Linked DNA regions of Danio rerio. The protein of the gene in region 4 purifies or fractionates together with the protein of the main gene of each other region. This does not show direct contact. Links are inferred from orthologs where the notes say so. Each region holds a gene or a part of one and is shown on either strand. Other genes may lie near its edges.

Region 1 (4,239 bases), on a different chromosome or scaffold from region 4:
AGATTTAATTTAAGCCCAATAATAAATAAAGTCCTACCATGACAACATTATCATCCAAAAACTGAGCTTTCCAATGCTGACGATGCTTGTTCACACTCTGAAACAAGAAATATATGGATGAAACAAATTACAAAAACAAATTCTAAAAAGTCTAAAAGTACTTAAAGGGATAGTTCAACCAAAAAGAACATTTACTCTGTATTTACTCCCCCTCAAGTGGTTATCAACCTTTATGAATTTCTTTCCTCTGTTGAGAGGCATTTTGAAGAGTGTTGAAAACCTGTAACCACTGACTTCCATATTAGGAAAAAGAAATACTGTAGTAACAACAAATTCTAAATACTACTACTAAGTCAATAGTTACAGGTTTTCAGCTTTCTTCAAAATAAAGGGTGAGTAAATGATGACAGAATGAAATATTAAATGAAAGTTGTCATCATTTACTCATCCTTTATTTTGAACAAAGCTGAAAACCTGTAAAACCTGTTTTTTTTTTCATCTGCTAAACACAAAAGAATCTATTCTGAAAAATGTTGGAAAGCAGTAACCATTGACTTCCATAATATTTGTTTTTTTTTACTATGGAAGTCAGGTTTCTAACATTCTTTATAATATCTTCTTTTGTGCTCAACAGGAGCTGAGCCGAAAGGCAAAGCTTTCGATTTACCGGTCAATCTACGTTCCTACTCTCACCTATGGTCATGAGCTTTGGGTCATGACAGAAAGGACAAGATCACGGTTACAAGTGGCCGAAATGAGTTTCCTTCGAAGGGTGGCAGGGCGCACTCTTATGGATAGGGTTAGGAGCTCTGTCACCCGGGAGGAGCTCTGAGTAGAGCCGCTGCTCCTCCACATCGAGAGAACTCAGCTGAGGTGGTTCAGGCATCTGTTTGGGATGACTCCTGGACGCCTACCTAGGGAGGTGTTCCAGGCATGTCCCACCAGGAGGATGCCTCATGGAAGACCCATGACACGCTAGAGGGACTATGTCTCTTGGCTGGCCTTGGAACGCCTCGGGATCCCCCCCGGAGGAGCTGGAGGAACTGTCTCGGGAGAGGGAAATCTGGGGTTGTCTCCTAAGACTGCTGCTCCAGCGACCCGGCCCGGAAAAGCGGCAGAAAATGAATGAATGGATTTGCTCAACAGAAAAAATAAACTTGAAAAAATTTGGAACCACTTGAATAATAGTAACATTCATAAATAATGAGTAAATATTCATTTTTTGTGTGTGAACTATCCCTTTAAAGAAACTAATGTGGTTAATATTGAACACCTGTCTGACTTCTGAAAATCTGCTGACTTGTTGCTGCTGCCATTTAAAGCTGGGTGAAAAACCCTCAGGTGCAGCAAGACAACCTGTGATCTGAGGCAAAAATAATGGCACAGTTATTTTACACATTACAGAATTTATAACAGATTATTCAGTTCACTTTTCCCACTTACAGACACATTCACTGACTGTTTCTTCAGCTTCTTTGGATCAATTTGTGCCACAACAACATCTGGACACAGAGATGCTTCCCTCCTGTAAAATATACAGTAGTCGATATTTAAACAGGGTCTTTTTATTAAAGTTGCCCGAAAACCATTGAACAACACCCACTCTTGTCTTAGAACAATTTCGAAAAGCGTTTTCAATCCACTTGTAAAATGCTGACTACTATAATGTTCATCGAACAAGAGTCAAAGTCAAGCATAGTTTCATCAACAAGAAAAAGCTAATACAGCTTTAAAGTAGTTTTGTTTTTCCTGTTGCATTAGAATGTGTAAAATAACATTTTTTACAAACAATATTTACAATAGTTATTCTGTGTAATAGTAATTTATTAGCCAAAAGCATTAAAGTGTAGCCCCAAATCATATTTTGTTAGTGCCACTGTCCTTCGGATCACTAGTTTTACCAATTTGATCAATTAGTTCAACGTGCTAAGCATTGGGTAACAAACTATGAGGTTCTAGGTATGAAACCAGCATAGAGCCACAATCTTGACGGGCGGCACGGTGGCTTAGTGGTAACCACTGTCACCTTACAGCAAGAAGGTCACTGGTTCGAGTCCTGGCTGGGCCATAAGGCATTTCTGCGTGGAGCTTTAATGTTCTCCCCGTGTTGGTGTGGGTTTCCTCTAGGTGCTCTGATTTCCCCCACAGCGCTCTCTCTGTGAGTGTGTGTGTGTGTGTGTGTGTGTGTGTGTGTGTGTGTGTGTGTGTGTGTGTGTGTGTGTGTGTTTTTAGCTGGTCATCTCCCAGCCTGCCCAGCTAAGACCAGGCTGGAAATGACTGGAAACCAGCCTGCAAATGGCCATAACCCCTCTCAAACAAGCCTGGTCAACCAGCTAAAACCAGCCAACCAGCCTAGGCTGGTTTAAGCTGTTTTTTTTTTCCAGTAGGGTTTAACAACATAAGTACTGTTTAATTGACTGAATAATGTTGTACTTTAGTAGTCATTGGCAGCTAATATGATCTCCTTCTTTACAATTTGCAAATAATACTTTTCTAAAACTGTATTATTGATGAGAATGTCTGAATGTGCGAATATTAAACCAACTTTACCTCAATAGCCGAAAGACTTACTGGACAAATCTGAGATATTCCTGAGGGTTTCTAGGCGGCTCGGTAAGAGTATATTCCTCTGTGTCGCAGGAATCCACTGGCAGGAGTCTGGGCATCAACTCCTCGGCGTCTGACTTCATCTCTTTGCCTTATTTTTTATGCACGACCATCAAAATAAATCAACATGCTCACTATTACGTGCATGTCAACCTCTCCATTTTGAAAACATTGGACACGAGGATGACGATCAATAGACGCGACGGTTCTTTTATTCACTCGCTTACAGATGGAAAGATGTGTAGCGACATCTGTTGTTTAGGAGAAATGTGAAGGGTAACAACATAAAATGGTGGAGAAATATTGTACAAGTAGAATATTTTTTATTTACTCCCCAATAAGGTTAAATAAAAAGGAAAAATTATCAAATAAGAGCTGTGTTTTTTGAAAACTCTACCCCTTCTGCTATCTCACATTGAAACGGTCTTTTTGATTATTTAAACTGGGGAAATATATGGTCCATACATCAAGTTTTTCCTTACTAAAAAGGTAAAGGAAATATCTTTTAAATTATTACATAACATTTATCCTATCAAAAATGTCTTAAAGAAAAGATTTGGATCATACTTTGATACAAATATCTCCTTTTGTCAGATTAACGCTGAAACTCCTCGCTTATTTTGGTCATGCAATTGTCCAAATATTACTTTACAGCATTTTTCTGTGACTACAAAAGTCATTTTTGGTGTTTTTTATAACAAAGTTTAATGTCTACTTTAAAATAAACCTTTTTCTTTATGCAGATTTTATGTTCATAAATGTATATTGTCAATGTCAAGTTGCAAGCTAACATTTCTAGCATTTACAAGAGATTAAAAATTACTTACAGTTCCAGATTCACTTAACAAGAAAGTACTCAAAGCATACCATTTGCACGACCTTTATAATCAATTAAATCTCTAAATTGCTGCTTCTTATTTTGCCCTCTTCACTTTCAATTTTTTTTAAATCTATATATCTACCCTCAGATCAGATGGCCTATTGATATTTCTTTGTTTTTTGTTTGATTTCTGTTGGTTGTTCCTCTTTCTTTTTTCTTCTTTTTCATTCTTTATTGGCACCATTGTAAATAATCTAATGATTATTATTGTAAATGATGTGCACCAAATGTATCTTTCTGTAATACAGTAAATGTATTTAAAAAAGATAAAGAAAATATTACACAGGTATCCCTGCCATCTGTTCATTAATACATTTTAAAAAGACATTTCATCAGAATGTTTTAAACCTGAAAGTCTCCTACATCTATTTTGTGCTTGTACATTTATTGACGACTTTTGGAAACTGGTTTCAGGGTTAATTTTTTACTCAGTTTATAATAAAATTATATATAATTAACTTGGATGAATGCATGATTCTTTTTTAAACTGAAAACTGGCCATGATACACTCGGTAATGCTTTGAAGTTGATTATTTTTCTTGGGACGTTTCACATACACAAGGCAAAATTAAAGTCTATAACCCTCTCCTTCAATTAATTTATTTTTCTTATAAGTTTGAAACAGGCAACGCAGTGGAGCAGTAGGTAGTGCTGTCGCCTCACAGCAAGAAGGTCGCTGGTTCGAGCCTCAGCTGGATCAGTTGCCGTTTCTGTGTGGAGTTTGCATGTTCTCCCTGCGTTCGCGTGGGTTT
Region 2 (3,500 bases), on a different chromosome or scaffold from region 4:
TCACGTGATGCTGGGATGCCCATTCAGGGCCAGCCGTGCTTTTGCAAATATGCCCAGGGAGCAGACAGTGTGGAGCCCATGTTCAAACACCTCAAGTACACTTATCAAGGGTTACAGTTGGTGGTGGTCATCTTACCCGGCAAGACTCCTGTTTATGGTAATTTAATTATTATTATTATTATTTTTTTTTTCATCTCATATCTTTAGTGTATTTTTTACACACTCTAAATGCTAAAATTCTTACAGCTGAGGTGAAGCGTGTTGGAGACACTGTTCTCGGCATGGCCACGCAGTGTGTCCAGGTGAAGAATGTGCAGAAGACCACACCTCAAACCCTTTCTAACCTCTGCCTCAAGATTAACGTCAAACTGGGTGGAGTCAACAACATTCTTCTTCCACAGGGCAGGTGAGGGCAGCTGTTACAAATGCCTTTGACATGCAGAAAGCTTGAGGCAATTTCTTGTTGTCCTTTACGTCCTTTGATGCTTTCCCATGAAACTCAAAGGGTTAGTTCACTCGAAAATATGTAGTCTGTCACCCATTGATCATTCCAAACCTGTAAGACTTGGGTTATTCTTGGGAACAAAATTATCTCACTTTATTTTGTTAAGCAATTATATTCATTTATAGCAGCTCAGTCAATATGAATTGAGTTCACTACACCATATTGACCTTTTTCGGTCTAAGTTACTTTGACTTGCAATGGAAGGACAGAGATCTCAACAGATTTCATTACGTCTTAATTTGTGTTTCAAAGTTTAACCAAAAGTCGAATAGTTTGGGAACGATTTAAGGATGAGTTAATGATAAGAGAATTAAGATTTTTGTTTGAACCATCCTTTCAAAATGACAGAATAATACAGCTATTTTCTTTTTATTTACTTTTTATTTTATTTTTTTTTTACTTTAATTTTTTTGCACTCGTTATTATATATATTTTTTTAATTATTTATTTATTTATTTATTTATTTTTGTCTTAGGCCCTTGGTGTTCCAGCAACCAGTTATCTTTTTGGGTGCAGATGTGACTCATCCACCAGCTGGAGATGGCAAGAAACCCTCAATTGCTGCTGTAAGCCTGGCAAACCTCTGATATTTTAAGGCTGATAATGCTCATTGCACAATGCCAAGCAGTGCTAATACCACAAATGTGACCAATTTCTACTTGAAGTACACGATTTAAGGCTTTTAATGGGTTTCAGAAATGTTTTTAAGTATAATAATTTTACACGTACGGCATTTAGGTCGTTGGCAGTATGGATGCCCACCCAAGCAGATACTGTGCCACAGTGCGGGTGCAGCAGCACCGGCAGGACATCATTCAGGATCTGGCAACCATGGTCAGAGAGTTACTCATCCAGTTCTACAAATCCACACGCTTCAAACCAACACGCATCATCTACTACAGAGACGGCATCTCTGAAGGCCAGTTTAACCAGGTAAGCTGCAGGACAAGATCTCTTGTTAATACATGCTAAGTAGTACTGCAATGTATTATTTGAAGGCGACCTATTATGCAAAAATTTATTTTGTAAGGGGTTTGTGTGGTAACAGTCTGTGAATAAAACCAGCTTCTAATGATAAAAATTTATTAATTCTATTTTTTTTTAATAATCACACCTAAGAAAACTGCAGAAACACTTTGACTGACAGTCTCCCTTTGTATGTAACACTTTAGTTGACAGTCTCCCTTTATATGTGCCATCAGAGGGGAAAGCCCCGCCCACTAGTAAGATCTTACCCTCATTAGCATAGGACTTTAGTCTTTTTTTTTATCTGCTACTATGCTGATACATTTGTAGCTCCGCCCTCTTTTGAAAACAACACAATCTAATTTGAATTTAAAGCGACAGCCACATAATCAGCACAATTATGACCAAAGCTTAAAAGGGGCAGTTTCAAACATTATTTGTGTGGTATTTTAATCTGAAAACTTTGCACACATTCTCCAAAGACATCAGAGACTTATTTTACTTCTTGTAAAAAGGGGCACAATGCCTCCCCTTTTATTGTTGTCATCTTGTTTCGTCCTTGCAGGTTCTACAGCATGAGCTGCTGGCTATTCGTGAGGCCTGCATCAAGCTGGAGAAAGATTATCAGCCGGGTATCACCTTCGTTGTAGTACAGAAGAGACACCACACCAGACTCTTCTGCATGGACAGGAACGAACGGGTTTGTTATTATGCATCTAATCTCCATACAGGTGTCACTGGAGGGAATCACACATTTACACACAGATGATAACTTTCTGCATTCAAAGTGTAACAGTGGGAAAATAATATAGACCGTTTAGAGGGATGTAAACAAAAACAGTGGTCCCAACGTATTTCCTGTTTTACATTTTTCTATCGCTTTCGAGAATCTAAAAAGAGCCACATATTGATAAATAATGTCATGATAGCTGTTTTAGCATGACGTTATGATTGAATCGTCTCTTGTTACAGTTATGAAATAGTTTTATAACAAGCAGGAAATGTTCATGGGCCAATGAACCAAGTACCAAGTAAAGCTCTAGTTTTTTTTTAAATGTGTGCATTAGGTTTGTCATCCACATGCAGAACACTTTATGTGCAGCTTGCATGCGTTTTGAATATTTTGTTGCACTACTAAATTGTTCCACAAGGTGTCAACACTAAATCAGGCTGTTTCACAGTCAAAAATATGGAGGCAAAACTAATGAAGACATTTTTTTATCCCTCATGAATTTTTGTTGTGACAAAGCACATGCATTGGACATTAGCAAATCTTTCAAGTGCCTATGTGTTTAGCATGTGTTTTTCCAATCTACTAAATGGAGTAGACTACTAATATACTACTACTTTAAAAAAAATCTGTTTTAAAAACAGTAAAATAAATACTTTTTAAGGAAACATGGAAACCAAAGAGACATACAATACAAATGTCAAAGTCCACCGATTACAATCTTACTTTCGTATTTATTGTTGATAAAATGTTGCTATATATTTGTTAAGGGTTACATATCAAAGATCAACAGGCTCCAGATATATATAAAATAAAGTACCACAATAAAATTAAAACAGTAGATTTCTTCTCAACCATTTACCCCTGTATGCAGAAATTTAGTAGGCTTGTTGTCTCAATGAAAATGTCAGTACTTCCATGTCATACACCTCTTTTACAATATCATGCCATTCACCTACAGATGGAGGATCTTCCTTGAGCCATTTCTTTGTAATTACCTTTGTAATTACCTTTTTTCTAGTTATTAGAAGTATGTTAAGAAGGTGTGCATCATTTTTGGTATTACTGAAGAGTAAATTCCCAGGTACATAGTTTTAAAATTACATTCCAGATTCAGCCCCATTATTGCATTTATCTCTTTGTTCAAATCTTGCCAATAGGTGTGTATCACAATCCCAAAATATGTGGAAATGATCTGCCATTACATTTCCACATTTTCTCCAGCATTCAAAAGTTTTTTTATCTTTAGTTTGAAAGTATTTTATTTAAGCAAGTAGAATATACTTTGAAAGGCTACAA
Region 3 (4,148 bases), on a different chromosome or scaffold from region 4:
GTGCTTACAGTAGATCTTCATCTCTAATGGCCTTTAGCAAGATTTTCAGAGATGCAATTATGTAAGATTTGCAAAAAGCTGTGATTAATGAGTCATAAGCACTGCCTTTAATTTGGATGACGTTTAAATAGACATTGCAATGAGAACATAAAACATCTATCTATCTGTCTGTCTATCTATCTATCTATCTATCTGTCTGTCTGTCTGTCCGTCCGTCCGTCCGTCCATCCATCCATCCATCTATCATCTATCTGTCTGTCTATCTATCTATCTATCTATCTATCTATCTATCTATCTATCTATCTATCTATCTATCTGTCTGTCTGTCTGTCTGTCTGTCTGTCTCTCTGTCTATCTATCTATCTATCTATCTATCTATCTATCTATCTATCTATCTATATCTGTCTGTCTGTCTGTCTATCTATCTATCTATCTATCTATCTATCTATCTATCTATCTATCTATCTATCTATCTATCTATCTATCTATCTATCTATATCTGTCTGTCTGTCTGTCTGTCTGTCTGTCTGTCTGTCTGTCTGTCTGTCTATCTATCTATCTATCTATCTATCTATCTATCTATCTATCTATCTATCTACGTGCCTGCCTGCCTGCACATCCCTTCAGAATATTCAAAGAACTCCGTGAGTTTTTCCAGAAATTGCTCTAAGTCATTTAAAACAGGTGTGTCCCATGACAGTGAGGTTATCATGACATCAGAGCACACGTAGACATACCAGTGAGGCTTGCACGCAAAATTATCATTGAGATGTCTGAATGTAAAGCATTTTTACCGCAACCAGCCCATGTGTAATATTTATCCTGACCGCTCTATTCAAATAGTAATTATATCCTGTGCAGATGTTACTTACCTACAGGGGGCGCTTCGTGGCTCAGAAAGTTTACCTTATATATATTTTAAATAGCGTAAAGCTTATTGATTTATGGCACTGATTATTATTATTATTGTTATTATTATTAGTATTATTATTATTATTAACATGTTATTTCCTCACATTTGCCATAACGTTAGTTATATAACCATCCGTTAACAACACTGATAAACGAAGTGTGTCAAAGTAGTAACTTTCCTCGTTTGTAGTTCGTACTGAGAAAGCGTCTTCATATTAACGCTAGAATCTTTCCTATCCCAGATATTACATATTAGATAATGGAATTTAAACATAATACAGCACATGTTAGCACTTTATTTGTACATACACGTCCATTGGTAGAAAAACGGGATGTACGCTTTCTCAACCGACGCTACGACAGGTCACGTGATCCAGTTCTGTCCAATCCCCGTGGCGTCGCGGGCCGGAAATGATGGCCGGGCTTTCACACTAGTGCTTCCATTATGTTCCTGTAGCGTTAGCGAGGGCTCGAGTTTAGCTTACACACACACACACTCACACACACACACCTCGTGTAGCTGGTGGCACAGCACTGTAGCTGGGAGTGCAGCTCCGCAATCATCCCCGATACGCAATCTGGCCGCAAAGTACTAGTGTGTGACGTTGATTTGCTAGCTTTGCAAGGTAATGATTGTTTTTCTTTGACTAGCCAAGCTTGTGTTAGCCAGCACACCTGTTCTGATTTTTCATATGTACATCTCTTATTTGATACTTGAATTTTAAGAAATACGTAGCTATGTTTCAGTACAATTGCTTATGTGTCCTGTCATCTTTTTAGGTCCTCAGTAAGTATGGCCATGAGACAGACCCCTCTCACCTGCTCTGGTCACACCAGACCTGTTGTGGATCTGGCGTTCAGTGGAATAACTCCTTATGGATATTTCCTCATTAGTGCTTGTAAAGGTTTGTATGTACTTGGACTTAAAACCAACTCTTCACAGTAAACACAACCTCATTGCAGGGCATTGTTGGTTTTATAGTTGCACATTCATGCAGTGACCACTTGTGACATGCTCCCTATATTGTTCACCATGGTACTTTGAATATTCGGCTTGAAATCACATTTAATTATGACTTCAAAACAACATTATCACGTTACTTGATTGTGAACAATGTTGTGCTTTGATAGTCATTGGCTGACAATATGATTTTGCTATTTATAACTTGCTAATAATGTTTTTCTGAAATAAAATTAAGGAGAAAGTTTAAATATAAAACCATTTTTACCTACATTTGCAGGGCAGTGTGCTTAAAAAGTAAGCATTTCTTAAAATAAGTGTGTGCATATGTCATGTATCTGTCAAATAAGTTTGTTTTTGTGTTCAAATTTTGCAGATGGCAAACCTATGTTGCGCCAGGGTGACACAGGGGACTGGATTGGGACGTTCTTGGGTCACAAGGGTGCTGTCTGGGGTGCCACCTTGAATACAGAAGCTACAAAAGCAGCAACGGCCGCAGCAGATTTTACAGCGTAAGTGTTAAAGGAATAAAAGATGAACTGTTATTGTTGAAACATGAGTTTACTTTCTATATTTCTTATGAATCTGACAGGAAGGTATGGGATGCTGTCACTGGAGACGAGGTCCTCACCCTGGCGCACAAGCACATTGTGAAGTCTGTAAACTTTACACAGGTATTCCATGCTGATGTATAGAACGAGTTCTGCAAAATTGTGTAAGCCAAGAGTTATGGCAGATGAAATCTTGACTTTGTAATCTTGGAATATGATATACATTTCAAATTATATTTATGCACAACGTGGGTTTTTTAAATTATTATAATTTTATATTAGTTTTACTGTATTTTTGAATAAGTAAATGCAACTTTGGCATAACAGGCTAAATGTATTTATTTTAAACTACTTGTATGAACAAATGAATAAGTCATTAATTTATTCTAGTATCTAATTAAAACATTTTGCAACAATTTTAGTAAGATATAATACTGATCTATATTGAGATATTCAGACTATTTATGCAACACTTGGTTTATGAAATGATCTTACTTAAAATAGTTAACCTGTGGTCATTCAAAACCACGGGTTAACAGAATGCTGGCTCAATTTGCTTCATGATTCTCATAATTTACTTCGGCAATCAGTAAAGTTTCATAACTAAATGTTTCAGTTAGCTTCATTTTCAAATGTGAACCCTGACAGGAGAAACAGCATGTCACTGGGACTTTCCTTATTAAATTTAAACCACAATAGATAAAGTAATAAATAAAATGAAATAAAGTTTGGAACAATAGTAACCCATGTGTTCAATCACTCAGTACATTTACAAGGATACCAATGCAATTTTAATACGATTAAGACAATACTCTGATTAAGACTCTACCATATAAACAGAAATTTTTCATTAATTTAATCAGATTAAGGTCATAATCAAACTCTACAGAAATGTAATTAAGACGTGGCATATGCCGGTTTTAGTCACATCATTGACACTGTAAAGACATGTAAACGCAATCAAACTATTACCGTTGTGTAGGGTTTTTGCCACATTTTGCAATGGGACAGTCTATATACACACGGCTGTTTGACACTATTCTCTGCACTATCAAGTCAGTAGGACCACAGACATCTACAGTGTACATTGCGAAATGCTGAGTTTTTTTTTTAAAAAACCAATATCCAAAATCCAAAATCTCGTTTGTCATGGGGGCATGCATGAATTATTCCTGAATGAAAGTGCCAAACTGCAGTTAAAGTCAACAAAATAAAAATAAAACTCCCGAAATTACATGAAACTCCAGAGCAAATGTGGATAGCACGATGACGCAACAACGTTAATCAAACTATGTGCTATAGCATGTAAAAAGGGATCATGAAAGCAATATTCAAAAAGTAACTCATGTAAACACCTTAAACATTTTATTGTCTTATTCAGATCAAGGCAAATCATTTGATCACCGATTACTACATGTAAATGAAGTCACTTTCTGTAAACTTGCCAGAGTAATTTCATTTAGGAGTTTTTACCAGCATGTGTTGAACCAACAGGACAGTAACTATCTCCTGACTGGAGGAAATGATAAAGTACTGCGCATCTATGACCTCAGCAAACCTGAAGCAGGTATTGAAAGTTAAATAATAGTTTATTTGCTTTGATGATAGCCGCTTCCTTTCATAAATGCAAACCTGGTTTTAAAAAGTAACTTTTGTAATGCAGAACCCCAGGAGATTGCAGGCCACACTTCTGCCATAAAGAAAGCACTGTGGTGTAACAATGA
Region 4 (4,278 bases):
TTACACTATTGAACAACAGTTAATGAGTTTCTCAAAAACAATTAGAGATTTGTGCACATGATATTAGCAGTTTCTAATTCCTTCCAACAAATTGCAAGAGCTTTTGGACATGCTACAATTGCTTTCATACAACTCTCTGCTGTTTATATCATTATCATTTGCTTATGTCATGTCAGTCAAAATAAACTGAACTTGTGAATGCTGAATAGTCATTCCATAACAGACTCATTTCATTACTTGTGTCATTACATACAAGAACATTGAACTAGTCAAAATCTGTCAAGCAAACTTTATTCAAATCTTTAAATCTTTTTTTTTTTCCTGAAAATGTCTTCTAAATTGATCAATTTCAATAATGATTTACAGACTTACAGTATGTATGTTGTAGCTTCAGTACCAATATGTACTGCAATATTGTTTACAGTTTTGCAGAGGCTCAGAGCTCTACCCAAAGAAAGTTTGTTTGTTGTGAATAAGAGTGTATTTATTCTTTTGCACAATGCGTTGAATAAATAGAGTTAGAATTAGATATTAGCACATGCAGTAAAAAAGTGAATCATGCATATTCAGTGTGTTGTACTCAGATACCTCACTAAATGCATGGATTACTGTAGTCTTCAAATGGCTGTGCAAATGCAGTGCTTTCTTGAGGATTTTCAGTGTCACCAAAATCTGACTTTGGAAAACAGTTACAGAGTAAACTGTCATAATGAAATCATGACAAAGCCATTTGACTATCTTGTTCATAAACAATGGTGTCAGGACTTCATCTTGATGACACTGACACTTTCATTGACATCAATACTTGCTTTTGAGGAATGAGCTATCCATTTGATGATTTGAAACACATCTATTTGAGCATGTGACGCGCTTTTGCAGGTTATCAACCAGGTTTTTCAGTTTGTACTAATTGTTTTGAGAAACGCATTAACTGTTGTGCAAATGTAAAAAGTGTTTTGAGAAATGCGCCAAAGCCACTGAGAAAAACTGTAATTGTATTATCTTTCTATATCAAAAGATGTTTGGTGACTAAAATACAGTTTTATTAAATATTTCTGTTTAATACACCTGTTTTGTTCAAATGCACCAAAATATATTACTTATATTCACTGAGAAATGGAGAAAAATATTCAGTTTCAAGATGGGGAATAATCAATTATGCTGGGCACTGTAAAACTTTATAGAATTTGTAAAACGGTAATTATTGTGACCTGTAGTATTCTTAATTAAATATATAAATGAATAAGCGACCGTGCTAAATTGTAATATAATTACTTTATTAATTACTGAATTGGTAAAACACAGATGTAACTGAAACAAAGATTTAATATGACATCTAACAAAACTATTTGGGGCTGCACTGTGTGATTCTGAAATAGTCTTTTAATATGTTTCATGCAACATGATTTTTGTTTTAAATTGACCTGACAAACATTTTTTTGGTAAATAACACATTTTAGTGGGTGTCTTCTTCTAAATTAATACATTATAATATTGAAAAATATGAAAACAACTTAACAGGAAACCTATATACAGGAAACCTAATAGGTTTACAAAGGCTATCTTTTGTAAAGAATGCATATGGCAATAACAATGTTGTAACAGAATACCAAAAAAAATTCATTTAAACTGAGTAATTCCTTGAATAAGCTGTTTCAATACCATATTAAGGGATGTAATCAAAAACAATGGTCCCAACCATTTTTATTTGGTCCAATGGTCCAACCATTTTTTATTTATGCAGCTTCCAAGAATTCTAAACAAGTTACATATTGATAAAGTTATGATAGCTGTTTTAACATTAAGCTATGATTGAATTGCTTCTTGTTACAGTTCTGAATTAGTTCGATAACAAGCAGGAAATGCTCATGATCCACAGGGCCAATAACATGACCTCATTGAAATTGTCTATAGGATCTTTTGTCAATAATACACATTTTATAAAAAGAATCCATCTCTAAAATAATTAATTAATGAATTAATCTTAAACATATGTAAATGTATGGTATATATATATATATATATATATATATATATATATATATATATATATATATATATATATATATATATATATATACATGTATATTTAACAAAATCACAGTTTCCTAACACGGACTAAGGCTCTTCCCCCCGTCTAAAATCCAATCAAAGCACAGTTAAAGTTGTACGATTGTCCCTCTATTGTTATGCACGAACCCTCTATTCTTCCTGAACTGACCACTGGAGCGAAAGCAAGAGTTGTTTTGTTGACGGACAACCGTTAGTTAATCCCATTCAGGGACTTTCCCTCAAATCATCAGCTCTTTTACACCACATCAGTGCCTCCTTCTGCTCGGGGGCACGGATGTCTCCTGAATATGTAATGTGAAGAGTGTCAGAGGCTAGAGAAGGAATATTATATTAACATAACGCTGGTTATACTTCATCACTGACCTGAAACTAAAGCGAAGGAAACCAAAGATCTTAGCGGCAGCGACATCAAATTGGATGGAGATTTAAATCAATCAACCTGCTTGTAGCATTAAAATAATTTCATTCTGTAACGTTATGTCGGCAAACATGGAGGAAGGGAAAACGGATATCGATGACATGAAGAGCAACCTTCATCGTCTAAGAAATGAACTGGTGAGATTTTCTTGATCTTAATCGGCACTTACTTTCACAGCACAGGTGTGGTTCTGTGTTAACAGTATTCTTTGATATGTACGTGTATGTAATTATTGTATCTTCGCGTTATGAACAAATTAGTGCGCGTTTCACCGGCTCGGTTCTTCTTCACTTATCTGTTTTGTTTGCGGTGAGTTGTTGACGTTCATCCAGCTGTTGGCTGCGTGCCGGTGCGTGCAGCGTGAGAAAGGTGCAACCTGATTGGAAGCGGCTGTTTGAAAGGAAGCCGCTGATTGGCTGGCACTATGTCTTCTGTAATGTTTTAAAATTTGAGTTCTGAGTGTCTGCGTGCGACCATCACACAGCAAAAACTATATGAGATAAAAACCACCAGAAAAACGTGCTTGACTAATATTTCACAACAACCGATCATTTTAATGTAATGTTGATTTATTTTGGGAACACATGGTAGGTAGTATTAAGTAAGCTAACTTATACAAAAGGTATTTATTAATCTGCGTTGATGTCTGTTTGTATATTTACTTTTATTTAATAATATTTAGATATTTTAATGTTAACTAGGATTAATAAATGCTTTAGGGGTATTTTTTAACGTTATAGGGTAAAAACACTTCATTATCACCACACTCTGCCCCGCTGGTTAACGTAATTACATAATGAATTGTATTATTTTTGTATTGCAAATTTTCTAAATTGTTCAGTTTGATCAAATATGTGCTTATTAGCATACTTTTGCAGCACAATAATTTGAATGGTAAATAAAGCCTCACAATTCTTTCTTACATTTTTTGAATAAAAGGCTTTCACTGAGTAAAATTTGGGTTTCCTTTTTAACACTCCATAATCCAGACAATACTGTGAATTAGGGCTGGGCGATTTGGCCCAATTGAACATTTAACTCAATTACAATTACTAAAAGATTGTTTTATTTGTTCACTTTATTTTTTGCCTTCATAATTCACTGACAAGTTTTGTACAGTAAATATGCTCACATATTACAAGAGATTTCTGAATGAAGGCTGCATTACTTGATTTTAAAATAATTGAAGGAAAACACACATTACTGACTATATATGATAATTTATTGAACATCAACGTTGAACAAAAGAAATTAAATCACACAATGGCTAAAAAAAAGTTGAGAGTAAGCAGTTTTACTTTTAAATAAAATCTAATTTTATATCCTGTAAATAATATTGTAAACAGTGCATTTCTTGAACCTTCTGTAAACAAATATTTTAATGTAAATGGTCATTTTATTGTAATAAAAATATGCCGTCTCAAGGCATGTCTGGCACAGCTTCCAATCATCATCAATGGAATGCAAAGATGTAGCATGTAGTTAAATTTTTGAGAGATGTGCGGGTATGTGACCAAGTGAAGGCTGCGCCAGCCTACACCATACCTGTGCATTCAATGCAGAAGTATAAATCAGCCATAACAGAGTGGGGTCACATGACTCCACACATGGTAGGGAAAGTAATTGAAAAAAATTACCTGGAAAAATTAGATCGTTATAGGCTCTGGACATCGATTCCGATTATTTTACGATTAATCACCTAGCCCTACAGTGAAAAGCCAAAAAAGACAAATAATAACAATAGTAATAACCATAATGTAAGTAATAACAAAGTAAGTAGTAAAAAC
Region 5 (3,111 bases), on a different chromosome or scaffold from region 4:
ACTGTGCGCCTCTCAGTGGTCACTGCTGCTGCTTGTTTAACAAACACAAGAACCAGCGAGTGCGTTAGCAACGCTATCAGCTTTAATATTTGCACAACGCCACTCTCCGTGGCTTGCACACAACAATGAGAACGGAGTAAATTACCTCTTTCCAAGCACAGCGGTTCTGTCATCGCCGCCATGTCCACCTCTTTCCCCGTATGATAATACGATGACATCATGAAGACTGCTGCAGTGGAGGACTGAACCGCTTTCAGCGACGTTATACCAAATTAATATTTCAAAACAAAATTTGAGATGAGCTTTAAGTATGTAAAAACAATATTGAAGGCGCAGACGATCCAGCTCTGATGGCGAGATGCGCGGGTCTGAGCGCTCGTACAGAGCGGCAGCTTACTGGATGACGCAAGACCACACGTCACAGGCGCGAGTTCAAGTCGTTTTGCAACCCACAAGCTCGTTTAACACCGTAAGATTTAAATAAATAACCAAAACACTACTTCGGCAATAAAAAAGTATTTATTCAAGAATTTAAAGCAGAACAAATACGACCAGATACAAACTGAAAAAACCTATACATAAAATTAAGAGCAATTTCTGTGAGACCATGGCAGACATTCCCATTTAAAAGCAGGTGTCATATTTTCTGCCTTTGTTCCTGCTGTAAAATAAGGGGCAACTGTACGATTTGTAAACGATCCATGTACAGGACCAAATATGAAACAAAATGTACATGATGAAAATAAAGTAGCAGAGAAATTAAAGGGAAGACCAATACAAAAAGAATGTTACAGATAAATGTACTAACCCATGAAACGTTACTATTGTACTCCGCAAACATCTATGAAAATGGACATAACAGTACTAAAACAACCCCAATAACTCCAACAAACAAATACTTATCTTTGACTGAAACTACACTGTATTATAATACAGTGCTTCAGTCAAGAAATCCCCTCCCAGTTATGGTCATTTGATATCAAAATAATGTTAGACAGGGAATTCAAATGCATCATTAAGCTAATTATTTACTGTAGTCCAAGCCCCAGAAATAGGTTTACCAGAGCTAAAAACATAAAAAAGCTCACAGTTTAGCTACATAATGTTTATTTTAACAATAGGACGCTTCTTACCAGGGAGACACTAAGCTCTCTCAGTGACAGCTGTTATTAGTACAGTATAATACTCACACGCTGTGGACAGTGCAAGCAAAGGGTGGAGGCATTAAATAATGGTTGAAGATATTTGTGGATCAAATCAACATTACATCTAGATAACCTACAATCATTCACACAACGATGGCACTTTTAGTACTCATCACCCTGGGCCTCCATCCTGTACCCATTTTCATTGGAGGCATAGCCCTCTCCCGACTGCATGGAATCCTGATCCATCATCATCATCCTCATCCCATCCTGTGAACCTTCTTCTGATTGCGGTGGCACTGGCTCTTCACCTTCTTCACCTCCATTACCCAAACCCTCATGATCTCCGGAGGAGGTAATGTGTCGATCTTCCCTTCGCTCCCCACGGTCCCGATCTCCACGGTCTCGCTTATGGTCACGATCTCTATCCCTGTCCCGCCTTCTGTCCCGATCCCTTTCTCTATCTTTATCTCGATGGCTGCGCTTCCTATCACGATCTCTTTCCCTGTCTTTGTCTCGATCCCTCCCCCTTTCCTCTCCTTCAGGTCCTCCCTCCTCACCTCGCCCTGGTTCACCACCCAAGGGGTCCTCTATGCCCCTATCTCCCCCTTCAGGCATCATGCCATCAACTAGCCCGCCCATGCCTTCCTCCCCTCCTTCTGCACCTTTTCCTCTTTCCCTGTCTCTCTTCCTATCCCTGCTCCTGCTCCTTCTCTTGCGGTCTCTATCTCGATCCCGGTCTCTACTCCTCTCTCTGCTTTCTCCAGCTCCAGCACCACCTCGTTCTCTTTCCCTCTCTCGTCGTCGGCTGCTGCCCCCAGCCTCATCCCCTGCAGCGGCCCTCTCACGCTCATGAGACCTAGTGTGCCTGCGTCTCTCTCTGGACCGAGAACGTCTGCGTTCTCCACGTTCCTTGTCTCGATCACGTTCCCGACTGCGTTCACGGCGTTCACCACGATCCCGATCGCGATCACTGCAAAATAAGACAGAGGTAAGGCCGCGTAAGTTCAGAAGATGAAAAAGCACCAACTAAAATTCTAACCGCCTCTCACACAGCGTACCTTCCAATTGGTCGGTCATCATAACGAGATGTGTCGTCTCTGCCAGAGTGCTTGATGTTGACATCTGCGCCTCCTCGCCTTGTGCCACCAAGACCCCCACCTGGAGAGTGAAGAAAAGAAATTTGGTTCAAGTAGAAAGTTTTGGGACCCAAAGGCCATGCTTGGGATAGGCAAGGTCCTCGAAGCCCACTGATAATACCCATGCAATAATATTGTTCAAAAGATCAAAGATGGAGCTGAACTCTGCAGGACAGTAGACCTTGAGCCAGATTTTGCCTGCCTTGATTTATCAAACCTATTTGCTACAAGATTAGCGGTCATTCTTGCTTTTGGTAGAGAATGATTCACTTGAAACTAAAAACCTCAAAGAAAGCTCTTTGAGGCATACTAAAGCCATTCCTAACCAAACTACAGAAGCCAACATTTAAAGGCGTTAAAAACCCATTTTTCAATAGTTTAGGACCAAAGTCGTCCTAAACTATTGAACAACATCCATTCTTGTCTTGGGACATTTTAGAAAAACTGAATCAAATGTTTTCAATACTTCAAACTGGACCTCCAGGCCTAGAAACAAACATGTGACAAGAGTGGGGGGAAAATAGAAATGCTTACCAAGTCGCCGGGGGCGCCATCCTTTTACCGTTCGTCCTCTTTCAACATCAACAAGCACTCTACGACCATCGATCTTTTTGCCATCCGCATGCTTATAAGCAGCTAGAAGAGTTGATAGATGAGCAATAGAAAAGTGGAGATTGAGAGGAAGGGAATAAAGGGGAGCACAGAGGGAAAAAAAGACACAGACAATGAGAACCATGAAGACACAGAACAGTATTTGCTACTACATACCTTGAATTTGGGATGAACTCCATTCAAAACATTAATCTATCAGAAGTCACACGCTTACC
Region 6 (2,849 bases), on a different chromosome or scaffold from region 4:
CTTGTTTATCAGATGTCTCCTCGCTGCTCATCTTCACCGTGTTCACCGGGGATGATATTTACACACGCTGTGAAGTTTGTCATACCTCCGCGGATGCGCACTTCCGTTCATTTGCATGGAGCGACCTAACTGGCATCTGTTTAAAGATTTAAAGTTTACATGAATCTTTGACGCTGACATAAGAAAAATAGCATTTTAAAAATTACTTTAAATAATCCGGGAGCAGTTTCATTTAGTGAACCACCTTAGCGTCTAGTTCAGGTTCCTTTCCATGCTACTGTGAATATTCTGTCTAATACAGCATATATGACTTCAAAACAACATTAGCAGTATTTCATTGACTGTGTGTGAAAAAGTTGTACTTTGATAGTCATTGGCTGTCTGCTAATATGATTTCCCAATGTAGAATATAAAACCAACTTTACCTCAATGTAAATATTATAGGGACTGTGTCACATGTTGTCTCTGAATGAATGTGTCAATTTAAATTTTACTTCTCCTCAATTTAAATATGTTACTATTGCAGTGTGAATGGATGTAGCTCAGTGGTAGAGCGCATGCTTTGCATGTATGAGGTCCTGGGTTCAATCCCCAGTATCTCCAAGAGCCTTTCGAGGTTCTGTCCACAGACGATAAACAGGGTTAAGAAAGTGGTGTATGGTCATAGGTTTAGTTGCAGCGTCTTCAATTGTCTTATCACACTAACTGTACAAAAAAAAAAAAAAAAAAAAACTACTAACACTTCCCTTCTTAGACTTTACAGACCTGAAACTTGCCTTTAGTACTTATTCATTGTTGCTCTTAGTTGTGTAAATTGCTTCCTTGTCCTCATTTGTAAGTCGCTTTGGATAAAAGCGTCTGCTAAATGACTAAATGTAAATGTAAATGAAGAGATAAAATTGCTTTAAAAAAAAAAGTATGCAAAAGTAAGCCTATATTAACATGGCTATTTTTTTAAAGTACTCATGGCTAGGGTTTTATACTTGCATATTCATTCAGTGACAACTTGTGACATGGTTTTCTACATTAATTACCTTTCAACTTTGAATATTCGGTCTGAAATCGCATCCAAGTAGGACTTAACATCATTAGCACTATTTTATTGTCTGTAAACAATGTTGTACTTTGATATTCATTGACTGCTAATATAACTTCCCCATTTAGAATTAAGAAATAATGCTTTTCTTAAATTATTATTATTATTATTAAGAGGAAATCCAAATATGCAAATATAAAATCACCTCAATTGTAATTTGGCCGATGTAAATTTTAGCCCTTTATGCAGACATGCTAACTGTTGAAATGTCTCATCAGGAGTTTATTAAACAAGCCCAAATCTGAGATGACTCCAGAGGAGCTCCAGAAGCGAGAGGAGGAAGAGTTTAACACCGGTCCACTTTCAGTGCTCACCCAGTCTGTGAAAAACAACACACAGGTCCTCATCAACTGCCGCAACAACAAGAAGCTGCTGGGCAGAGTCAAAGCATTCGACAGGTAACTCGTGTCATTTTGAGTGATAAATAATGCAAGCAGGCTTTGTTTACATTAGTGCTGCACAATATTTCGTGTCAGCATCAATATCCCAATGTTCGCATCTGCAATAGTCACATTTCAAAATATGCAAGAATTTTGTTGACCAAGAGCGACAGAATTGTGTTTAATTACTGTATTTATACAGGATTTAGGCAAATAAAGCATTTCTTATCATTTTTGGCTTGTTTCTAGTCCAAATGTTTACATTTCAAAGCTAAAAAAATAACAAAGTAAAAGTGAAACAAAACTATATTTACTTGATTCAAAAATTTTAGATATTTCCACTAGTAATGAGACAAAGCAAAGCAAGAAAATTATTTTTTTTTACATTGTGATTAATTTCTGTGAATTTAATTTCTGTACCTGAATACTGTTAGACTCTATTGAAAACCATCAAACAGTGCTATTTAAATTCTCTTCTAAAACTGTATCCCATATTGCAACATTTATTGCAAATTAAAATCTCACACTATCAAATTTTTCTAAAATTGTGCAGCCCTAGTTTACATGCACAGGCTTGTGTTGATATGATTAAACTTTTGAATATCTGTGTTGCAATAGTTTTCTGAACAAAGTATCTGCAGAGTAATAGTTGCATTTTGTGTCAACATAACCTATGCTTGTGTCTCCTGTTTGCTATAGGATTTGCTAAGATGTGTATTTTATTTGCTACAAATAAATTATATTGAATTATTTAATGATTTTGCTGAATATTTTCCCAATACTACCATGTAATATATAAACATAATATAAATTATTACTATATAATATCTAAACTATTACTATATAATATATAAACTATTACAATATAATATATGAACTTTTAATATAAGATATTTAATATATAAACATATTATTAACTTTTCCTATATAATATATAAACCATGAATATATAAGATATATAATATATAAACTAGGCTTGGGCGGTATCCAACCGGCGGTATACCGTCAAATCTCCTCCCTATTTTAACCAGGTATCCGGTATTACCAAGCATAATAAACAAAATTACGACGTAAGGCTCAGACAGCGTCACCAAATTGTGCCTAAACCATTCAGAAACTGATACCGTATATGCGACCTTAGGTTTGCGGTCACCTGTTTGTCTTGTTTGTATTCTTCTGCGTAGGACGCTCTTTCTTCAAACACACACACACACACACACACAGAGATAGAGAGAAAAAGAAGAGAGAGAACCAAGCAACACCCAGCAACTCTCTTTCTCTCTCTCTCTCTCTCTCTCTCTCTCTCTCTCTCTCATTCACACACACACAAACACACACCGAGAGAGAGCACCAAGTGACACACGCAGATTGCA
Region 7 (3,959 bases), on a different chromosome or scaffold from region 4:
GTTGATGGCCAGTAGTCTAGATATTTATTTAGAGTAGGGGTACCATGTTTTTCATGATTTATTTATATAAATGGCAAATTTGAAATGTTAGTTGTCTCTGTGAGTGTATACTGCAAATGAAATTACCCTACAGGGACAAATAAATTAACCAACTAGCTAGCTAACTAACTAACCTAACTATATACACCCTCTCTGGGGAAGAAAATATTGTCCATCACTATCCACCACTGTACATGACATTTCAAACATGACCTCTTTTGAATAGATGGTAATGAAATGCAAAAACCTACTGGGCAAGTCTTCGGTTAAATGATTGATGTGGGATATTTGCATTTTTTTTTATTTATATAATTGAGGGTCAATAGTTTTGCAAAGCTAAATTACTGTACAAATCAAAGAGAAATTAGATGTGTTGTGCTTTCAAATACAAATCTAAAAGACTGTAAATGATTGCAAGTTTCCGTTCTCGTTGAATGAAATGATAAAATGATCCACTGCTGCTGTTTTGGGAGTTGTTAAAAATGGTACAAAATAAATATATAAAATAATTTATACATATTAATTTTTTTAAAGGGATAGTGATGAAATGAAATTATGTTCTCATTTACTTACCCTTCACTTGTTTATTTCTTCTGCTGAACACCAAAGAAGATGTTTGGAAACTGGTAACCATTTCTATAATATGATGAAAAACAAATACAATAGAAGCCAATAGTTACCGGTGTCCAACATTTTCGAAACAACAATACCAGTTTTAACATACTTCCAAATATCTTATTTTTGTTTTCAAATGAAAAAAAAGAATCTCATTAAGGTTAGAAACCCCTCAAGGGTGACTATATAGACAATTTTGAGGAATCTAAACAAAAGACAATGGTCCTTACGTATTTCCTGTTTTACATTTTAAATTTCTATAGCTTCCGAGAATCTAAAAAGAGCCACATATTGATAAATAATGTTATAAGAACTGTTTTAACATTAAGTTATGGTTGAATTGCCTCTTGATACAGCTGTGAAACAGTTTTATAACAAGCAGGAAATGTTTATGGGCCAACGACATCATCAAACGGAAATAGTTTATAGTAAGTACATTTTTATTTTTGGATAAACTATTTCTTTAATTTCAGACCTCCACTCCAGCTCAACTGAGGATTCACGGCTCTATTCCCCGCCTGTCCAGCGAGTGGCGCAGCGGGCAGATCCGCTCTTCTCTCCTGCCGTGCGGTCAAAGTGCGCTCGTAGTCCTTCCCTCTTTCGGCGGCAAGGCGTGCGAGTGTGCTGCATTAGCTTATACTATTCAAATAAACAATTTTTGTGTCTGAAAATACTACTTAAGTAATCCAGTCATGGTAAGTTCATCGTTATCTCTTTTATTTGTATCCAAACCTTCAGTTTGGCGAAAGAGCGTAGACGTTTTCATTCATAAATACGCTGATAATGCGGCTAGGTGTTAGCATCAGGAACGCAGACTGGACGTTGTTTTCAGTCATTTTCAGTGTTGTGTTAGAAATGTTGAGCTTTGCTGATAAATGTTCCTCCTTGTTCTCTTACAACCTAGTCGGTGACTCCCAAAATGCGATTAAATGATATATGTGTGGGAAAACTAAAGATAAAAACTAACGTTAAAGGAGTTTTTTCTGCTATTACTGATGCTTATTTGCAGCTAATTCTGGTGGAAACCAAAAACAATTAATGCTGTAAATTATTATATTGTTTTATTGAAGTTATACAATATATATATATATATATATATATATATATATATATTGTGTGTATGCATGCGTGTTTTGATTTTTTATACCACAAACTACAGTAATGAGAATTTGTCATTACAATTTAAAATGAAGTCATATCAATTGTATCTGTTTTTGTTTTGTTTTTATTATTTGTTTATTTTGCTTGTGTAAATTCATGCGGCTAGTGTCAAAACTTTTTACTAAAAGTTATAACAAGCTGATGAAGAAAAAAAACTAAAACCCAAAATGTAAATCTTTTTTTTTTTCTATTTGGTCAAATATGACTGAGCATCACCGGAGGCTATGCTAAAGTTTCTTCTAAGCTTTTCACTCACTTGAGAATAAAATCATCAACATTTGTAGTATTTTACTTCTTCAGGAACAATATTATGTTGACATGGAATTGTTTGAAAATGACACTTAGGGATTGATTTCGAATGATGTTAATTGTGTAACACTGATCTTTTCCCTCAGAGTTTGCCGCTGAACCCAAAGCCCTTTCTGAATGGTCTGACAGGAAAGCCTGTGATGGTGAAGCTGAAGTGGGGCATGGAGTACAAGGGCTACCTGGTGTCAGTGGATGGGTACATGAACATGCAGGTATGTTTAAAAGAGTTAACGATTCTATGAAAATCCAGCTCCTTAGTAGGAAGAAAATTTAAACTATTCTTTTTAACTCGAGACATACCGTTGTATATGCCATTATGGAGATGCTAGACACACACAGACATCTGCTTAAAGCAGAAGGTGGCCAAAAATGTAAATATTGTAATGGCAACCTAGCTGTCAAGCATATACACTTCATATGAAAACCTCAATATTTAGCAATTCTGAGTGTGCCTTACACAAGTGAGTGGGCTTTATAAACACTCCTTGACACACTTGCACTAGTTTTGTCTATTTGTACCAGACCCTCTCTTTCAACCACTTCATAGCTCTATAAAACATTGTGCATTTCTGAGATTGGTTCACACAGGTGAGTGGGCTTGACAAACCACCTGTAGAAATGCTAATCTCTCTAAATGCAAGTTTTTCTAGATCTCTTACAAGGACTTAATAAAAAAAAAAAAACAATGTTTACCTGTGACTGTACCACAAATTGTTTAACTGGTCATTTCCTTCAACCTTAAATGATCTCTTTTGCACAATATTGTTCTGTCTTATATAAAAGTACTTGTATAGTCTGTCTAAGGTTATGCGTAAAGTTTTTTTTTTTTTTTACTATTTATAGACCGTTTCAATGTGGTGATGCCATTGGCCCATGAATATTTCCTGCTTGTTGTCAATTCATATCTGTAACAAGAGGCGATTCATTCATAACTTATATAACAGCTATTATAACAGCTATTGTAACTATCAATATGTGGGACTTTTTGGACTCTCAGAAGCTACTGAAAATACAGTAGGACCATTGTTATTGTTTACATCCCTCAAAAAGGTCTTTAGTACATGTATAGTTAATTACTGCTCTGCTATGTAGTTATGTATAGGTTTAAAATCGCTCTTATGTCTATAAGGGTTGTTTATATTTATGATAGTTTATTTATGTTGCACTGTGGTCCTGCAAGACATTTCACTGTGTGTCCACAGATGTAGCGGAATGACAATAAAACTCAACTCGAGTTGATACTTTTGCAATGCCCTGTTTAAAATGTTTTAGATAACCATTTTTATCTGGAGAGTTCTTAAAGCAGGGATGTCAAACTTTGTTCCTGGAGGGCCGCAGTCTTGCATAGTTTAGTTGCAACCCTGCTTCCCCACACTACAGTTTGAGCATGTGAAATTCTGCCGTTTGGTGCTGCAAAAAGGGGCGGGATTAAACAAGCTGATTACGATTTGACCATATTTAAAATTTCTGTACAGAGAGGTCGTGTTTTGATCTTCTATTGGTCAGAGTTCACCAAGCTTTAAGTTTCCAACACATCGAACTGCGAAACTTGTGGCACGAGCTTGCGTTTCCTGTCTAAGGCATTTACTTGCTAATAAATGGAAGTCTATAGGGGTGCAGTGTGCCTGCCGCTTTACCTGTAGGTTTCAAACGACTGTAGGACTCAATTAGTTTGATCAGGTGTGGTTAATTAGGGTTGGAATTAAACTGTCCAGAGCTTTTGGTCCTCCAGGAATTGAGTTTGACACCTGTGCCTTAAAGCAACTATTTAAAAAAAAAAAAAAAAAAAGTGAATCTTTCGAAGATGGTAGAATTAAACTATTTTAAGTTTTTAT

Evidence for each region.
Region 1: the proteins of ddx20 (region 4) and gemin2 purify together in Homo sapiens (affinity purification with mass spectrometry; 6 studies listed by BioGRID and IntAct, counting the BioPlex papers as one, with this or other methods). This does not show direct contact. The link is inferred for Danio rerio from reciprocal best matches to the Homo sapiens genes DDX20 and GEMIN2.
Region 2: the proteins of ddx20 (region 4) and ago2 purify together in Homo sapiens (affinity purification with western blotting; 3 studies listed by BioGRID). This does not show direct contact. The link is inferred for Danio rerio from reciprocal best matches to the Homo sapiens genes DDX20 and AGO2.
Region 3: the proteins of ddx20 (region 4) and strap purify together in Homo sapiens (affinity purification with mass spectrometry; 3 studies listed by BioGRID and IntAct, counting the BioPlex papers as one, with this or other methods). This does not show direct contact. The link is inferred for Danio rerio from reciprocal best matches to the Homo sapiens genes DDX20 and STRAP.
Region 5: the proteins of ddx20 (region 4) and snrnp70 purify together in Homo sapiens (affinity purification with mass spectrometry; 4 studies listed by BioGRID and IntAct, counting the BioPlex papers as one, with this or other methods). This does not show direct contact. The link is inferred for Danio rerio from reciprocal best matches to the Homo sapiens genes DDX20 and SNRNP70.
Region 6: the proteins of ddx20 (region 4) and snrpd2 purify together in Homo sapiens (affinity purification with mass spectrometry; 3 studies listed by BioGRID and IntAct, with this or other methods). This does not show direct contact. The link is inferred for Danio rerio from reciprocal best matches to the Homo sapiens genes DDX20 and SNRPD2.
Region 7: the proteins of ddx20 (region 4) and snrpf purify together in Homo sapiens (affinity purification with mass spectrometry; 5 studies listed by BioGRID and IntAct, counting the BioPlex papers as one, with this or other methods). This does not show direct contact. The link is inferred for Danio rerio from reciprocal best matches to the Homo sapiens genes DDX20 and SNRPF.

Annotation. Positions count from the first base shown.
Region 1 is NC_133192.1:14,292,407-14,296,645, reverse strand, and holds the start of gemin2 (gem-associated protein 2), read right to left. Parts: upstream 2,801-4,239; 5' UTR 2,691-2,800; coding exon 2,572-2,690; exon of another isoform or gene 2,551-2,571; intron 1,526-2,550; coding exon 1,444-1,525; intron 1,364-1,443; coding exon 1,274-1,363; intron 98-1,273; coding exon 38-97; intron 1-37. UniProt on the Homo sapiens protein: The SMN complex catalyzes the assembly of small nuclear ribonucleoproteins (snRNPs), the building blocks of the spliceosome, and thereby plays an important role in the splicing of cellular pre-mRNAs.
Region 2 is NC_133194.1:44,214,482-44,217,981, forward strand, and holds part of ago2 (protein argonaute-2), read left to right. Parts: coding exon 1-157; intron 158-246; coding exon 247-406; intron 407-980; coding exon 981-1,071; intron 1,072-1,243; coding exon 1,244-1,438; intron 1,439-2,036; coding exon 2,037-2,171; intron 2,172-3,500.
Region 3 is NC_133179.1:17,468,584-17,472,731, reverse strand, and holds the start of strap (serine-threonine kinase receptor-associated protein), read left to right. Parts: upstream 1-1,348; 5' UTR 1,349-1,538; intron 1,539-1,692; 5' UTR 1,693-1,705; coding exon 1,706-1,817; intron 1,818-2,249; coding exon 2,250-2,385; intron 2,386-2,465; coding exon 2,466-2,547; intron 2,548-3,918; coding exon 3,919-3,991; intron 3,992-4,087; coding exon 4,088-4,148. UniProt on the Homo sapiens protein: The SMN complex catalyzes the assembly of small nuclear ribonucleoproteins (snRNPs), the building blocks of the spliceosome, and thereby plays an important role in the splicing of cellular pre-mRNAs.
Region 4 is NC_133183.1:30,195,673-30,199,950, forward strand, and holds the start of ddx20 (probable ATP-dependent RNA helicase DDX20), read right to left. Parts: upstream 2,801-4,278; 5' UTR 2,629-2,800; coding exon of another isoform or gene 2,551-2,628; 5' UTR 2,483-2,550; coding exon of another isoform or gene 2,437-2,482; exon of another isoform or gene 2,276-2,436; intron 1-2,275. Other genes in the region: PAK4-inhibitor INKA2, read left to right, coding at 2,551-2,628.
Region 5 is NC_133178.1:30,722,021-30,725,131, reverse strand, and holds the end of snrnp70 (U1 small nuclear ribonucleoprotein 70 kDa), read right to left. Parts: exon of another isoform or gene 2,921-3,111; coding exon 2,819-2,920; intron 2,307-2,818; coding exon 2,207-2,306; intron 2,119-2,206; coding exon 1,308-2,118; 3' UTR 501-1,307; downstream 1-500. Other genes in the region: lin7b (protein lin-7 homolog B), read right to left, coding at 146-182. UniProt on the Homo sapiens protein: Component of the spliceosomal U1 snRNP, which is essential for recognition of the pre-mRNA 5' splice-site and the subsequent assembly of the spliceosome. SNRNP70 binds to the loop I region of U1-snRNA.
Region 6 is NC_133193.1:43,804,206-43,807,054, reverse strand, and holds part of snrpd2 (small nuclear ribonucleoprotein Sm D2), read left to right. Parts: intron 1-533; exon of another isoform or gene 534-603; intron 604-1,314; coding exon 1,315-1,494; intron 1,495-2,849. UniProt on the Homo sapiens protein: Plays a role in pre-mRNA splicing as a core component of the spliceosomal U1, U2, U4 and U5 small nuclear ribonucleoproteins (snRNPs), the building blocks of the spliceosome.
Region 7 is NC_133182.1:19,364,171-19,368,129, forward strand, and holds the start of snrpf (small nuclear ribonucleoprotein F), read left to right. Parts: upstream 1-1,159; 5' UTR 1,160-1,346; coding exon 1,347-1,349; intron 1,350-2,210; coding exon 2,211-2,336; intron 2,337-3,959. UniProt on the Homo sapiens protein: Plays a role in pre-mRNA splicing as a core component of the spliceosomal U1, U2, U4 and U5 small nuclear ribonucleoproteins (snRNPs), the building blocks of the spliceosome.